Ovis aries: one gene and its partners. The protein of the gene in region 4 interacts with the protein of the main gene of each other region in a pairwise test. Links are inferred from orthologs where the notes say so. Each region holds a gene or a part of one and is shown on either strand. Other genes may lie near its edges. The genes, in order: carbonic anhydrase 1, CDC73, ZCCHC10 and TFCP2.

Region 1 (4,134 bases), on a different chromosome or scaffold from region 4:
TCCAGTCTCTTGCGTGGAGAATCCCAGGAACAGAGGAGCCTGGGGGGCTGCCGTCTATGAGATCGCACAGAGTCGGACACGATTGAAGTGACTTAGCAGCAGCAGCAGCAGCAGGAGCAGCAGTGGTAAAGAATTCACCTGCCAGTGTAGAAGATGCAAGAGACACAGGTTCAACCCCTCGGCCAGGAAGATCCCCTGGAGTTGGAAATGGCAACGCACTCCAGTATTCTTGCCCAGAAAAATTCCATGGACGGAGGAGCCTGGTGGGCTACAGTCCACAGGGTTGCAAAGAGTCAGACATGCCGGACCGCACATACAATGATTTTTTGAGTGCATGAATGAGCACACACAAATCAAAGCTGGCAGCCAGTGAGGCAACAGGGAAGGGCGGGAGTGGGCTACAGTCCAGGGGGTTGCAAAGAGTCAGGCACGACTGTGCTCACACAGAAGACAAATCTCCATTTGTGAATTCCAATACTGCTTCAAAACGAGGACCTTTAGTCTCATCTTGTATGTCTTTGAAATGTACTGTCATGAATAATATATTGAGTTGCCAAAAAGTTTGTGTTTTTCCCTAAGATCTTACAATATACTACCAACTGCAAACCCAATGTATTCCAAATGATTAGTGATTCTCTTATCTGATTTTAAATTAACATCAGGACATTGGTCTGATCTGCCTGTAAATATGCAAATTTTTCTCCTGACTGAATTACTGTTGCTACTCCAGTACTCTTGCTTGGAAAATCCCATGGACGGAGGAGCCTGGTGGGCTGCAGTCCATGGCGTCACTGAGAGTCGGACATAACTGAGCAACTTCACTTTCACTTTCATGCATTGGAGAAGGAAATGGCAACCCACTCCAGTGTTCTTGCCTGGAGAATCCCAGGGACGAGGGAGCCTGGTGGGCTGCCATCTATGGGGTCACACAGAGTCGTACATGATGGAAGTGACTTAGCAGCAGCACTATTGCTTAAGTGTCCAGCAAGGGTAAAAGCTGGGAGTCTCAAATGCACAGTCCTTTGTAACTAGATATTCAAAGCATCAGGTGTGATAACTCAGCCATATCTTCTACTAACATGAGAATAACAGGGCTTGGTTTTGCAGAAGCCAAGATTTTGAAATTTCTCTGCAACAGTATAAGAGAATAAACCAACTGGAACTGCCCTTACCTTTGTGAGCTTTTTAAACAATACCTTTTTTTAGCATGCATATACTTCCTGATAGATAAAGATGATGAAATAGCGGGCTGAGTGAGTAACACTCATGCACAGGGGCAGAGACGTTTCTATAAAAACCCTGCGAACTGTGGATTCAGTCATCTATTGCACGTTCAGTGACAGTCAGTTATTCCAGGTATTCTCTTTGTGTTCAGAAAAAGAAAACTAAGTAGAAGATCATGGCAAGTCCTGACTGGGGATATGATGGTGAAAACGGTAAGCATTCTTCTGCTCATGTAGCTCAAATAACGGCTTGTTCCCTTTTCCAGAAAAGGAGATATTGAGCACTTAAAATAACGGTAAAGTCATAGGTTAATGGTTTGAAGTGCCTTTGACTTATACCAGCTTTGCATGCATTCTCAACAGTTGTCCTTTGGGCCATGATTGTCTACAGAATGTATTCTGCCTCTTTTCTCCTCTCTCCCTCTCAGCCTCTCTCCCTCCCTATGTACAGAGAGGTCTATTGCTAACAGCAAAATATGTATAGTCTGATCCCATAGACTATGAGTATATTAACTCTGTTGACAAAGACTCTATTTTACAGTGTAGCATAGGAAAGGGGCATTCTCAAACCTTGGATTTCCATTAAGCTAACCAGAATACCGTTTCAGATACCTGAATAAATCCTAGCCTAGGAAAATTACATTCCTAAAACCTGGAGTCAAGCATTAGATCAGTTTTGGTTTAATCACGTTTTCCTGGTAGGTCCTGAACACTGGTGCAAGCTGCATCCCATTGCAAATGGAAATAACCAGTCTCCTATCGACATTAAAACCAGTGAAACCAAGCGTGATCCCTCTCTGAAACCTCTCAGTATCTCCTACAATCCAGCCACCGCCAAAGAAATCGTCAACGTGGGACATTCCTTCCATGTAAACTTTGAGGACAGTGATAATAGATCAGGTGAGCCAAACGACCCTCCTGATTTCTGTCTTTGACTTGCTGGGAAATTTAAACAGTAGGGCTTGCAGAACACGGACACCCATGTTCAGTGTTTGGCGCACATGTGTAGCATTGACGCCATCTACTGAGGTGCCTTGAAGTCTTAAAACATTTCCAAGTGTTAAGGATGATTCTGGGGTCCCAGCTCGCTCTTCTTTCAGCCCTTCTCCTTCTCAGTGACTCTATTTCATCTTCTTCTGGTTTCCAATGTCTTTATGCTAACTTTACAGCCTCTGAATAAACAGTCCTTTTCCACAAAATTCTGTGAACCATCATGAATATAAACACTGAAAAGGCAAATATTTTCTAACTGAGATGAGGTTGGAGGAGCGCATTAGGGAAGATACACATGAAGAGTTTATTTATTTTTTTGCGGCCAGGAAAATGGCTCGATACCAATGAAGTGCTTCAGTTCAGCTGAGTTCAGTTGCTCAGTCGTGTCCAACTCTTTGCAGCCCCATGAATCGCAGCATGCCAGGCCTCCCTGTCCATCACCAGCTTGTGAAGTGCTTGGGTACCAGTAAAAAAAAAAAAAAAAATACTGGTCTTGGGTGTATCTTGCATGGAATCATTCTGTGCATAAGTATTTTTGTCTAGCTTCCCCTCTCCCTATTAGATCATAGTAACTGAATTATCTTCATCTCCCAGAATCTAGCACACTTCCTTGTTCACAGGAAAATTCTCAAAACTGTTTACTGAATAATTACTAAATAGCCGTTTCAAAAATCAGCTCTACTGTCAAAAGGCAAAATTAGTCATAGCACGTTCCTGCAAGGTTCGGAGCCTAAATTTCAGACATCTTGGGGCTATGTCCTTTGTTAATATTGGATTAAGTCTGGTACTGTGTGTGTTTTATTAATCATATGGTTGGATAAGCTCTCTAAAGGAAAATGACACTTCAGTATGAGAATTTTAAAATTGACCCTACCCTCCTACTGGAACTTTTTTTCATCCCTTGCTAGGAATTCTCAGCAAAGCTGTCAGAATACCCTCTTGTATCTTGATAGTTACAAGATATGTGCAGAGTGATTGTTACTGAAAACAAATTGCTAGATATCTTAATGCATGCTGTCCATTACTGTCTGTTGAAAGAATGAATGAACTTATAAACTAAAGCAGGTTCAAGGAAAGACCTCTCGTCCTATAATTCACTCATCTTCCAATATGTTTTCCTGAAAACAGGAAAAGATAAAATTATAGCCCATGTGCTGGGAACCGTATAAGTCACGCACAATCTTAAGGTGCGGCACACATCTGAGCCCATCATTGTGGGCATGGGGAAAGACCAACAGGATGGGAACTTTGGACTAGGGTTAATTTTCATTACTACTCGACCCAATTTAATGCTAATTTGTATTCAATGCAAAGATAAGCGGGAGCTCATGACTGTAACACTAATAGCACTTTCCTTTTTCTCCTAGTGCTGAAAGGTGGTCCTCTATCTGAAAGCTACAGGCTGCGTCAGTTCCATTTTCACTGGGGCAGCACCGATGAGTGTGGCTCTGAGCACTTAGTGGATGGAGCCACATTTTCTGCAGAGGTAATGCAGCTGAGTGAGTGAGAGGAGCTACGCCGAGAGTCCTCCCAGAAGTAGCCCGCTCATAACACGGTGGTGTGTGTTAGTCGCTCAGTCATGTCCAGTGCTTTGTGACCCCGGGGACTGTAGCCCGCCAGGCTCCTCTGTCCATGGGATTCTCCAGGCAAGACTACTGGAGTGGGTAGCCTATCCCTTCTCTAAGGGATCTTCCCCACTCAGGGATCAAACCAGGGTCCCTTGCATTGCAGGCAGATTCTTTACCTGTCTGAACCACCAGGGAAGCCCCCCTTATCACTTAGGACACAATTTCAACAGCTCCAAAGGAATGAGCATTTTTCGGTCTGTAAAGAATTCCTAGGCTCCATTAAACTTAAACGGTGACACATTGTGTTTGGCAATGGAGGACAATTTTTCACGTGAGGGAGGCAGGTGAAT
Region 2 (4,057 bases), on a different chromosome or scaffold from region 4:
GCTCTGATACAAGTATAAATAGAGTAGATAGTACTGGGGATAAATAAAAAGGTTATTTTTAACATGTTTGGGGTGAAGTTTAGGAAAATTTACAGAATAGTCAAAATTTCTCAAATTCAGCTGCAAAATGGCTGAAGAGTGAATACAGAAAAGTGAACCACATTCTACAGATCTCTCTGCAGTGCACATAACGAAAATTGCTTTCTTTCAAATCGGGTAAAAGAATTTGGTTATGTCAATCACAAAGTCGACTTTTTTCCTTTTCTGCTATAGTAAGACATTTTTAAAAAATGGCCCATGGGATATGTTTAAGGTAGACATGCCACAGTAAACTGAATTTATATCAATAAACTGAGCTTGTGTTCTCTAACTCTCCTATTAGCATCTCGGAAGACAGCTATTAAACTGTAGCCCCTTGAGGCTGGCCAGGAGAAGGGGACAAGAAGGAAAAAGCCACCATCTAAGGAACTGAGAAGGGGAAGATCCAATATTTATGATTTTTTGATTTGCCTGATGCTTTTAGCTTCCATGTTCTCCATTAACCAATTGATTCTGTGAGAAGGTGTGTAACTTGACTGAGGTCAAAAGGCAGCTAACAAACACCAGTGCCCCGGCATTGATCTTTGGCCTAGGCGAGCCCACTAAAAACACAAAATAAAAAATAACCCCCAAAGCAACATCTTTCCCCAAACACCTTTCCCTTCTACAGGGGTTTATCAAGAGGCCATTTGTTAGGTGGGTCCAACCTCGTCGGGACGGCAACCTTGGCTCTGCAAACCTCTCACCAGGCTGCAGCCTGGTTAAAGGAGAGACCACACTGCACTGGCCAGCGGCCAACACTGCGGGCCCGTCGAGGAGCACCCATTGCGCGCTCTGGGAACTGACGTCCCAGATTCCCCGCGCAGGTGCGCGCGCACCTGTCGCCTGCCGCGTGCGCGCTGCGCGTGGTGGGGCGAGTCGGGGGCGGGGGAAAGGAGGATGAGGTCCGTGCTCCCGCGCGTGCGCCGGGCAAGGCTCCCCCGTACGTGCGCCGTACGTGGGCGCTGCGTCCCCGCGCCCTATGAGTTGCGGGCCGGGAGTCGGCCCCGCGCGCCAAGTGGGAGTCTGGGAGGGGCGTTTCCCGGGCGGGCGCGGCGCCCCCTGGCGGCGGGCGGCGGCGGCGGCGGCGCGCGCGGTCAGGCGTTCTCCGCGGGCAGCCCGCGGCGGGGCCTTGCCTCCTAGCGCGGGGTCCTCGGCGGCCTGGGTGGCTCCTTCCCCCGCTGCTGTCGTAGGCGCGGACGGCTGCCAGTGCGACTGCAGTTGGCTCGCGGCGGCGGCGGCGGCGGCGGCGGCGGCCGAGGCAGAGGGGCGGGGGGTGGGGGGGCTGAGGCGACAGGCGAAAGGGGCGGCGGGCGCGGCGGCGGCGGCGGGGCCCGGGGCCGGCGGCGGCGAGGGGGGCGAAGATGGCGGACGTGCTCAGCGTCCTGCGACAGTACAACATCCAGAAGAAGGAGATTGTGGTGAAAGGGGACGAAGTGATCTTCGGCGAGTTCTCCTGGCCCAAGAACGTGAAGACCAACTATGTGGTTTGGGGGTGAGTCTGTTGCGGCGGGGGGCAGGGCTGGGCGCCCCGGGGTCCCCCTCTCTCTCTCCCCGAACCCCTCCCCCCCGCTCCCCTTGCGGGTTGAGGAAAACGGGTGCTCCGGGGAAAAGTTTTCCCGGGAGCAGAAGTTGCAGCTCGTCTGTGAGGAGGGCGCGGGAGGAGCGGCGTTCGGAGGGGTCCCTCCTCCGCGGCTCCGTGTGGAGGTCTCTGCCCCTGTGTGTGGAGAGCCGGCCGGGTGCATAGGTGCATATAAAGGAGCGCCCCGCCGGGTCCTCGGGCGGCTCTTTTTGTCCTTTAGTTGTTGTTTTTTAAAATCTCTCTCGGAGGCTCTTCTGCGATGGTCTCTGCTGGCCCTTTGCAGCTCCTGGTCGGTTCCGTCTCCTTTCGCGATTCCCTCAAGCAGAGAGAGAAGGGAACCCACTCCGTCAGGTTAGGACGGGTAAGATTTCGGCGACCTGGGACAAGTCGTCGGAATCTGTTGGAGGTGAAGGCAGGGGTCTCCCTCAGGGAGAAAGTTCCTGCTGAAATGAAGTCAACTTTGCCATTCTAAGTGGGGAACGAATAGAGTGTGCGATTGTGTGGGAAATGTGTGTGAAGAGTGTGTGTCTGGGAATGTTGATCCCAGTGAGGGTTGCCCGAGTGTAAGTCCTTAAGGAAGACACCCGAAGGGAGATCTGAAACCTACACGGGAAAAGTATCTGAAAAAGAATAGATATATGCATATGTATTTCAAAAGAAAAATAGGTCTGATCATCATGAGGGGCTTTTTGAGTGAACCCTTCCTCTCTCAGTGGCGTTTCATTTGGATAGCTAGAGCCCTAGACGAAAACTTTCATACTTATTTTGCTTGATTGAATGGGAGCAGTGGGCTTTAGGAAGAGTTGATGAAAAGCTAGGGGAAGTTTAGTTCCTTGGGTTTTATTTATTTAATTTTTTTGGCATCTTGGGCTGCTTATGGTTTAATTAGCTTTGTGCAGATGGGTAAAATCATTCTGAGTTTTCTGGTTTTTTTTTTTTTTTTTCCTTTCAAAAGGAACTTGCACAGGCAGATTTACATTTTAAAAACAAATTAACAGCTTATGTGATGAAAAGTCTATTTGATTTGGGGAGTAACAAGCTGGAAGAGGTTAGGAGTCCTCTGCCCCACACATTGTGTAGGAGCTCAGCGCTGATTGGATTTTTAACTGATTGGTTTTTCTTTAAAAAATGGTTGAGTATTCACAGTGTAAGGCTGTTCAGTCCCAGAACTGGAAAATATTTTGAAAACCTAGGTCGGTGCCTCAAAGGAGGTTATCTCAATCAGAGTGGAAGAGATGACACATAACTTGATAAGAATCGAATTCCAGTTCCTAAAGAGAGCAATCACTTCTAACTTGGAAAGTTTTCATAGAAGTGTGTTTGGCCTATGGACATGCTAGGTTTTTCTTGAATAAATGAATGAACAAATGTTAAGGAGTGGATAGGAATTCTGAGGGCGAAGTAGTGGGCTAGGTCTTTCCAGCTGAGGGAATGGCATGCTTAAAGACCTGAGAGCTGGAAAGGAAATGTTTTGATAGCTGAGTGAAGCCAGTAGTAAGAAAAGAGTGCTTACAACAGTAGATTTCAAACTTTTGCAGCAGTGAATCACACCAGTACATGTATTTTGATTGAGTGTTATTCTCTGTGTTTAGGGAAATGCACACATATGCATGACATTAATATTTACCCTTACTGAATGCAGTGCATCCTGTTGTTTTTTTTTTTAATATATCACGATATCACGAAGAGATACAGCTTGTTACTCATGTATTATCTACTTCATAATACAGTGATTGATAAGTGATATGTGGTTTGAAGTATATTGATTTAGGGAAAAAGTGGAAATACAGCCTAGAAAAATAATTGGGACTGATTATATTGGGCCATATTCAGATGAATTTAAACAATACGTTGATATTTCTAGATGGGGAGAATGTAATAGGACAGTGGGATTGGACACTAACATTTGTTGAGCAAGTAGTAGTATGTATTTGCATGAAAGGGCTTGCACTCCTGGATGACTGTTTTATCACAGGTAGAATTAGTTTTGGTTTTACATCACTAGTTTAATTTGAGAGAAGTCATAAGAATCATATCTCTGAAGTTAATTGTAGTGTTAAAGAATGTTGGTAAGGGTGTTTTCTCAGCAGAATCTTACTTAGAAGACATGATAAGTTTCTTGTAAGTTTAGCCTAAGTGACTAGTATGCTTCTTTTAATCAGTTTGTTTCTCTTATGGATCCTTCCTAACTGATTAGGTTTCTCTATTAACAAAGCCCAGAAGCTAATTTGGACCAAATTCTAAGAAGTCTGTAGTAATAAAGTTTGAATAGTACTTTCCTTACCTCTTGCTTTTTGTCATTGTTTGCATTTGTGTGCCCAAATGACATTTTCACTTATTAGATTTCATGCTCTTAAGAATATTTTTCTTTGGATAGCACCGTGTGTGTAGATAATG
Region 3 (4,347 bases), on a different chromosome or scaffold from region 4:
TAAAAAAGGCAATAAGGGTATCAATCTGTAATGATTTGATACCTGATGAACTTGGCTTTTACTTCTGAACAGATTTAATATATCCAGCCAGAATTTTGCCTGGAATGGATATCAAATTCACAAGTCTAGTTTGTGGAATCTACCCTTCTCACTTTGAAAATCAAAACATTTGCCTACTTCTAGTCCTTTAGCGTCACTCCTGTTGGCCAGAAGTCCTCAGATTACCAGCAGCTACAGCCATTTCACTTGGAAATTTTCTGTTATGTTGGGGACGAAATCACCTGGGTCAAGTGCCTTAAACACATTCAGAGTGGCTTAGGGCTCTAATACCCACTCCTCTAGTCTCCTGGGCATCAGTTCTCCTCTTGTCATTCTGCATACAATTGTGTTTGAGTTAAATCTGATTCAGAGTTAAGTTCCTAAAAGATCTGCTGAATGGGAAATTCAAATTTTCCCCCTTTCCTCCTTTGGTCCAAAAACTTTTAAAAACAATGTCAATAGTACTTTCTCACTTCTCATAACTTGTAGCTTAAAAATTGTTCTTATGGAAGCGCTATCTGCTCTTTATAAACAAATCATTTTGATGAATATAAAATAAAAAGCAAAAGCTCCTCTTTTACTTTCTATCCCAAAATATTCCCCAAATTTTCCTGCACTTTCCTTGCCTCTAATGGCCCTCGGTCTCCAACTCCCTGGGAGTTGTCCTGACAGCCTTTAAACCATGACAGGTTTTGTTACACACCATGTTTTCCTCCCAGTTGAGACCAGAAGCTCCTAAAGCTTTGTTTTTTACTCCTAGGTAGCTCATGTACTGAATACAAGCATACTGAAGAAATGGAACATTTGTTTAACTCTGTGATACTCTAAAACTTATGCTAAAAGCATTAAAAGTTTTACTTTCAAAAGTGGACACTGTTTGATTTAGTCAATCTAGCCATCATCACGTCCTCTGACCTATCCACCCACTGTTTATAAAGACCCATTCAATTATGCTGGGAAGAGAAAATGAAAGTGAAAGTGTCTCAATCGTGTCCCACTCCTTGGGACCCCATAGACTATACAGTCCATGGAATTCTCCAGGCCAAAATACTGGAGTGGGTAGCCTTTCCCTTCTCCAGGGGATCTTCTGAACCCAGGAATCGAACTGGGGTCTCCTGTGTTGCAGGCGGATTCTTTACCAGCTGAGCCACAAGGGAAGAGAATGAGATCCAAATTAATCAGAACTTCATATTCCCACAGACATGGTTTAGGGTAGGGCATGTAATCCAGTCTAGACAATGAGATGCTATCAGCTTGAAGCTGACAGGATACAAAGGACTCTAGATACTGCAGCCATTTTAGGACCAAAGGAGTGATCTATCCAAGTATGGAACCAACATCCAAAAGAGCAAATCTGAGAGACATTAGACCCTGGTAACACCATTTAAGTGGATATCTATTTAAGTAGAACTGTTACTTCATTCTAGATCTCAGAACCATCTTGGAAAAGCCTTCTTCCTCCACCAAGCATACTACTACTTCACTCTGATTCTGTAAGTCTTTATCTTTATGATCAAGGAACTCTTTTCATCCAGCATGAGGGGCAGAGTCTGATCAAAGATTGAAGAAAAGGATCAGGACTCTTAGAATAAAAAAAACTAAAAAAAAAAAAAACTATAAATACAAAAAGGAATACAAATATACACACTGCAGCAGACTAAGTGATGTATTATAAACAGGCAAACAGTGATGGCATGAAAAGCTGAGAGTGAATAAGTGGTGAATGTTGGTTGGGTGTGCAGATTGGTAGAAGAAAAAAAAAGGCTGTACAAGAAAGGGGCATATGACACGAACTCCTGCATTATCTGTTCACACTCTCGTGCCTTTCTCTCGCTCATTAGCCGCCACAATGGACATCTTTCAGTTCTTAGAAACTAAGTTCTCTCCTGTCTCAAATTAATTATGCTGTTCTGGATGCTCTTTCCCCCAATCCTCTCACGACTGACTCCTTTCTCACACTTTCCATCTCTGTTCAAACCCCACCTCTTCAGAGATGCCTTTCCAGTCCAACCAACCTAACCTGGACCGTTCTCTTTTTCCACCATCTCATTTCCTTCAAAGCTCTTACTATCCAACTGCATTTACTTAAAATGTTTAGTTTATTGACTCTTTCCACCAACAGAATGTAAGCTTCCTGAAAGCAAATATTCTGTCTTGAACATTTTCTTACACCCAAAGTATCTCTTAGAGAATGAATGGCAGAATGTGAGAAGATAGCTTGGGAGAAAAGTCAGGCTGTTCCTAGGTAAGGCGATTACAATGGGGCAGGAAAAGCCAGCTGGCCTGGAGGTTGAACAGGAAGCTGAAGGTTTACGTCGGCGAGAATAAGGGGTGTTGGATGCGGGCTACAAGCTTCGCCTGGTCACTCTGGGGTGCGCCCACCGCTGCCCACCGGCTGGGTTGGGCAAATCGGCATAAATCACTTAGTAACCAATTCCTGGACGTCCCCTTCGCGGGAACCAAACGCGAGACTCTCTTCAGTCACCCCTAGGTCCCGCCCAGTGGCCTTACGCAGCCGTCTTCCACGAAATCGCTAGTGCACAGACATCAAACTTCTCGCTCCGGCCCGAGCCCCTTGTGGGCAGGCGACGTGTAAGAAAAACGGCCACCCTCCGCCAGGCCAAGCTGAGGATCCGACACCAACCCCGCTTCCCGGCACCGCTCAATAGCCCGCTGACGCGCTTCTCTCCGCCCCCAGCCCGCCCCGCCGCCCAACTCCGGTCCTAACTTACGCTTGTCTCCGGGCTATGAGACGATGCATGGGAGTCGCCATCTTAGCGCGGCTGGCGACGGCCGCGCTGGGTTTTGGGAAACTCCTCGAAGTGGGCGGGGACTTCGAACCCTGAAGGGCGTAGGCGTGGGCGGAGCCAGTGGTCCTGGCTAGGCTCTGGCGCTGCTTTTCGGGCAATAGTGGGTTGGGGCCTGGTGTGTTGTGTTACCTGCATAGTCTATAGTCGGAGGGAGAGGAATGAGGCCAACTGACTAATCTGAACAAGGGTTCTGAAGGACGAGTCCACTTATATTGCTTGGAGAAGCTGGGAAGAACATTGTAGAATGAGGGATCTATCTATCCATCTTTATATACAAATCCATTTTTATATACATGAACGAATAAAGTTAATTGCTTAGTCGCGTCTGACTCTTTTGGGACCTTATGAATTGTAGCCCACCAGGCTCCTCTGTTCATGAAATTCTCCAGGCAAGAATCCTGGACTAGGTAATCATTCCCTTCTCCAGGGGATCTTCCCAACCCAGGGATCAAACCCAGGTCTCCGTTATTACAGGCAGATTCTTTACAGTCTGAATCACCAGGGAAGCCCCACTGTAGTTTTCAGAAACCAGAAGTAGTCTGGATAGCAAAGTTTAAAGTAATAATTTGAACAAGATTGACTATCAGTTGAAAAAGGCTGGGGCTTCCCTGGTGGCTCAGTGGTAAAGAATCCACATGCCAAGGCAGGAGACACGTGTTTGATCCCTGATGGGAGAAGATTCCACAGACGGCAGAGCAGCTAAGCCCATGTGCTGCAACTATTGAGCCTGTGCTCTAGAACCTAGGAGCTGCAACTATGGAGACTGTTTGCCCCTACTGCTGAAGCCCGAGTGCCGTAGAGCCTGTGCCCCGCAACAAGAGAAGCCCCTGCTCGCTGCAAGGAGAGAAAGCTCATGCACGGCAATGAAGATCCAGCACAGACAAAACTAAAGAAATACAATGATTAAAAAGAGTGACTTTAGCAAACTATGAAGTGTACATATATGTTAATTACTTATGTTACATACATAATCATATTTTTATTAATAGTGATGTTAGAAGGTTATACAGGTAAAACTGCTTTGTCAACTAGAAAAAAATTATACAAATATTAATTATTTAAGGATATTTTAGCATTTAGTATCAGATCATGGAAATGTATTCCCTTAAATGCATGATGTTTGAAACATACATACCTTTTCAATTAATTAATTAGACTGCATTGGGTGATAGTTGCATCATGTAGGATCTTTCGTGGCAGTACATGGACTCTCTAGTTGCAGCACTAGGGCTCAATAGTTGCAAAGTTCTGACTTAGTTGCTTCCAGGCATGTAGGATCTTAGTTCCTCTGTTCAGTTCAGTTCAGTCGCTCAATCATGTCTGACTCTTTGCAACCCCATGGACTGCAGCACATCAGGCCTCGCTGTCCATCACCAACTCCTGGAGTTTACTCAAGCTCATGTCCATTGAGTCAGTGATGCCATCCAACCATCTCATCCTCTGTCGTCCCCTTCTCCTCCTGCCTTCAATCTTTCCCAGCATCAGGGTCTTTCAAATG
Region 4 (3,564 bases):
TGGAGGTGGAACCGACCTGGAGATAGAATTCTTGACATAGGTAAGTTAAGAGAATCCATTGCTTAGGAAGTGCCTTTAACTATGGTCTGTGAATTGGTTTTCTTTACTTGACATTTGCCTTGACTCAAAATGCTCCAGGGGCTCAATTAACATGAACTAAGCATAAAATATTACTGGTGTAATGATTTCAGAATTCAAGTTGAAAGTGTAGAGACTTCAGTTCTGTAACAACTGCATCCGTTACTAAAAAGTGCTTTTTGTTTTTTGTTTTTTAATTTAGTTGTGGTAAAATATACATAACGTAAAATTTACTGTTTTAACCATTTTTAAGTATACAATTCAGTTGCATTAAGTACATGCCCATTGTTGCACAAACCATCACTACCATCCATCTCTAGAATTTTTTTCGTCTCGCAAAAGTGAAATTCTGTACCCAGGAAACAACAATTTCCCATTCCTTCCTCTCCCCAGCCCCTGGCAACCACCATTCTACTTCTTATCTGTATGAATTTAACTGCTGTAGGTACCTCATATAAATGAAATCATTATTTGTCTTTTTGTGCCTGGGATATTTCAGTCAGCGTAAATAAACCTCAAGATTCATACATATAGTGGCATGTGTTACAGTTTCCTTCTCTTTGGGAACGCTTATACACTGTTGTGGAAATTAAGTTGGTATAGCCACTGTGGAAAACAGTATGGAGGTTTTTCAGAAAGCTAAAAATAGAACTATCATATGACCTAACATTTCCACTCCTGGATATATATCCAAAAGAGCCCAAAACACCAATTCAAAAAGATACACGCACCACAACGTTCATAGCAGCATTATTCACAGTTGCCAAGATGTGCACACACCCTAAGTGTCCATCAACAGTTAAATGGATAAAGAAGATGTGAGACACACATACACATACATACACACACAAATACACATCCAAGCTCTATAGCGTTAGCCTCTCTTCGTGAATATGCTTTTAGTTCTGGCATCTGTCCTTGATCTCTTATTGGTTATTATCTCCTAATGGTAAACATGGTTGCTAAACAGACCTAAGTATTACTAATTTTATCTGAGAAAACACTGGTTCTCCTACGGATATCTTGATATCCATTTGATAAACTGACTTTAGGATAAATCCAACACAGCTAATAGTGTGGAGTGGGACCCACTTAATGCTTTCTTGTTTGAATCATTGATATTAAAACAGTTGAGAAGTTATAGCACAGTTATAGTAACAAATATTATCTGGCCTTATCCCTCAATTTGAATTATTAATAGCAGTCTTATTTTTAAAACTTTTTAAAGTGGAAAAAAGATGTTCAAAGGAAAGTACTTAGGTCAATTTTAGCTCTAATTGAACTCTTTTTTGGCAAAAAAAAAAAAAAAGTTTAGGGTATGATACACAAAAATCTTGGTAATTCAGGACCAATGATAGAAGAATCGGTGCTTTCTTATTTAAACCCAGTAGCACCCAGAATTGTTCAATGATCACCATTTATTTCTCAGATATCCCAATGTCTGTGGGTATAATCGATCCTAGGGCTAACCCAAACCAACTAAACACAGTGGAGTTCCTGTGGGACCCTGCGAAAAGGACGTCTGTGTTTATTCAGGTAAGATGCTGTGGACAGGGCTCCAGTTTTGAAAAGGATTCAGGTAAGACACTGTGGACAGGGCTTCAGTTTTGAAAAAGATACCTTACCACGAGTTTGGTCCTTAAAGGATAAAAACGTATTGAATTTGAAATCTTTCCGGGTTGCAACCTGTAAACTTCTAAACAAATGCAGACATCTCAACATGTGAAAGCAAAGAGAAGTTTCTGAGTTGCTCTTCTAATTTCCCCAATTTATTTATTTGTTTCTCTCAAAAATACTTGCTAATGCATGCATTATATTTTATTCTTGAGATAAACTTATCTAACAGTTGTCTAGCATTGAGATTATCCTCATTTTTCAGTACTACCAAAGAAGTTATTTTGAACATCTTCATAATTAGAATTTGATTTGCATATCTGATTATGTCCTTTGGGTAGACTGCCTGAAAACTCATACTTGTAATAATGATAGCCAGTAGTTGACTGAGTGCTTCTCATCAGATAGTCACTGTGTTAACACTTTTTACCCATGATTTTAAGACTTTCAACAAGAATCCTGTGGAGTAAGAATATTCCTTGAGTCTTAGATAAGTTAATAACTTACCCAGGCTAGTATTTGGTCAACCAGGGCTCCACTATGACGATTTGTCAAGATCTTGAACTTTATATGCAGTAGCCTAGCAAACAGTTTTCTTCCTATTGCTCGTGAGCTTTCATATTTACTATTCTCCCAGCATGGATGGTGCCTCTGTTTTCTAAAATCTACCGTAAATTTCAGGAAAGTTTCATTAACAGAAATCATTTCTCTTCTATGTTAACTCTGTCTTTTCTGAAATAATTAATGAATTCCTCAGAGCAGCTTTTTGTTAACATTAGACCTGTACATTTATTTTGTTTGCGTTTGTAAATCATTGAAGTTTTCCTCATTTCCTCATGAGAGTGTAAACTCTTCATGATCAGAAAGAGAGTGTAAGGTTATCTTGTAGGTGTTTAAAGGTTTTGCTGTTGCCCTAAAATGTTGCTGACCGGTTTGGCTCCTAATAGAACTGAAACCTGGCTGGATGGTGTATTCTTTTCAGGTGCATTGTATTAGCACAGAGTTTACCATGAGGAAACATGGTGGTGAGAAGGGAGTGCCATTTCGAGTACAAATTGATACCTTCAAGGAGAATGAGAGCGGGGAGTATACTGAGCACTTACACTCAGCCAGCTGCCAGATCAAAGTCTTCAAGGTATTCCTGGGCTTTGCGCTGGTCCTTGGACTTTTTTTCCTTGTCTTTCATTTGCAACATTAGTCACCAAGTGAGAAAGTCAGCTTGTCTCTTTTCCAAAACTATGAAAGCCCAGCCTAAATTAGAGTTACTGAAATAAGTACTGAGCTGCCCAGTGAAGAAGTTTAAATAGGGATGGTGGGAGAAGGGGAACTTGGAAAAGGGATCATAGGGATATCATGTGGATAAATATCTTCTCATTGCAAGATTCATTAACATGAAAGTATTTGGAGCATGACATGAAGTCCCCCTTTAGCACTCTTGCCCTGACCCCCAACCCCTCCCCAGAGGTAACCAGTCTCAGTAAGTTCATATGTATTCTTATTCACTTCTAATTCACTTATGTACACATGTACATAGATATACACATATTTTCCTTTCTTTGAAACATAAACAGAATTGTATTGTATGAATTGCTTTGAAGCTTGCTTTTTTCATAACTTAACTATGTGCTTTAGAGATTTTTTCATGTCTGAAGCTATAGATGTCGTACTCGCCTTCAATTCTATTACACATTTAAGTATCCCATTTTCAGACTTAGATTTAATGATGGCTCTGTCTTTACCTCATTGTATATACCTTTTTGTTTCACAAGTGATTATTCTAAGTTTGTAGAAGTAATGTTGAATCGAAGGGTAAGTACTTGAGTTTAAAATGGAATATTTCTCCTTTCAGCCCAAAGGTGCAGACAGAAAACA

Evidence for each region.
Region 1: the proteins of TFCP2 (region 4) and carbonic anhydrase 1 interact in binary tests that used the Homo sapiens proteins (3 or more experiments, as listed by UniProt). The two-hybrid records come from large-scale screens. The link is inferred for Ovis aries from reciprocal best matches to the Homo sapiens genes TFCP2 and CA1.
Region 2: the proteins of TFCP2 (region 4) and CDC73 interact in binary tests that used the Homo sapiens proteins (3 or more experiments, as listed by UniProt). The two-hybrid records come from large-scale screens. The link is inferred for Ovis aries from reciprocal best matches to the Homo sapiens genes TFCP2 and CDC73.
Region 3: the proteins of TFCP2 (region 4) and ZCCHC10 interact in binary tests that used the Homo sapiens proteins (3 or more experiments, as listed by UniProt). The two-hybrid records come from large-scale screens. The link is inferred for Ovis aries from reciprocal best matches to the Homo sapiens genes TFCP2 and ZCCHC10.

Annotation. Positions count from the first base shown.
Region 1 is NC_056062.1:90,095,955-90,100,088, forward strand, and holds the start of carbonic anhydrase 1, read left to right. Parts: upstream 1-1,320; 5' UTR 1,321-1,399; coding exon 1,400-1,436; intron 1,437-1,925; coding exon 1,926-2,123; intron 2,124-3,583; coding exon 3,584-3,702; intron 3,703-4,134. UniProt on the Homo sapiens protein: Catalyzes the reversible hydration of carbon dioxide. Can hydrate cyanamide to urea.
Region 2 is NC_056065.1:11,318,960-11,323,016, reverse strand, and holds the start of CDC73 (parafibromin), read left to right. Parts: upstream 1-1,219; 5' UTR 1,220-1,442; coding exon 1,443-1,573; intron 1,574-4,057.
Region 3 is NC_056058.1:42,241,073-42,245,419, forward strand, and holds the start of ZCCHC10 (zinc finger CCHC domain-containing protein 10), read right to left. Parts: upstream 2,825-4,347; 5' UTR 2,813-2,824; coding exon 2,772-2,812; intron 1-2,771.
Region 4 is NC_056056.1:135,083,908-135,087,471, forward strand, and holds part of TFCP2 (alpha-globin transcription factor CP2), read left to right. Parts: coding exon 1-40; intron 41-1,507; coding exon 1,508-1,614; intron 1,615-2,674; coding exon 2,675-2,827; intron 2,828-3,541; coding exon 3,542-3,564.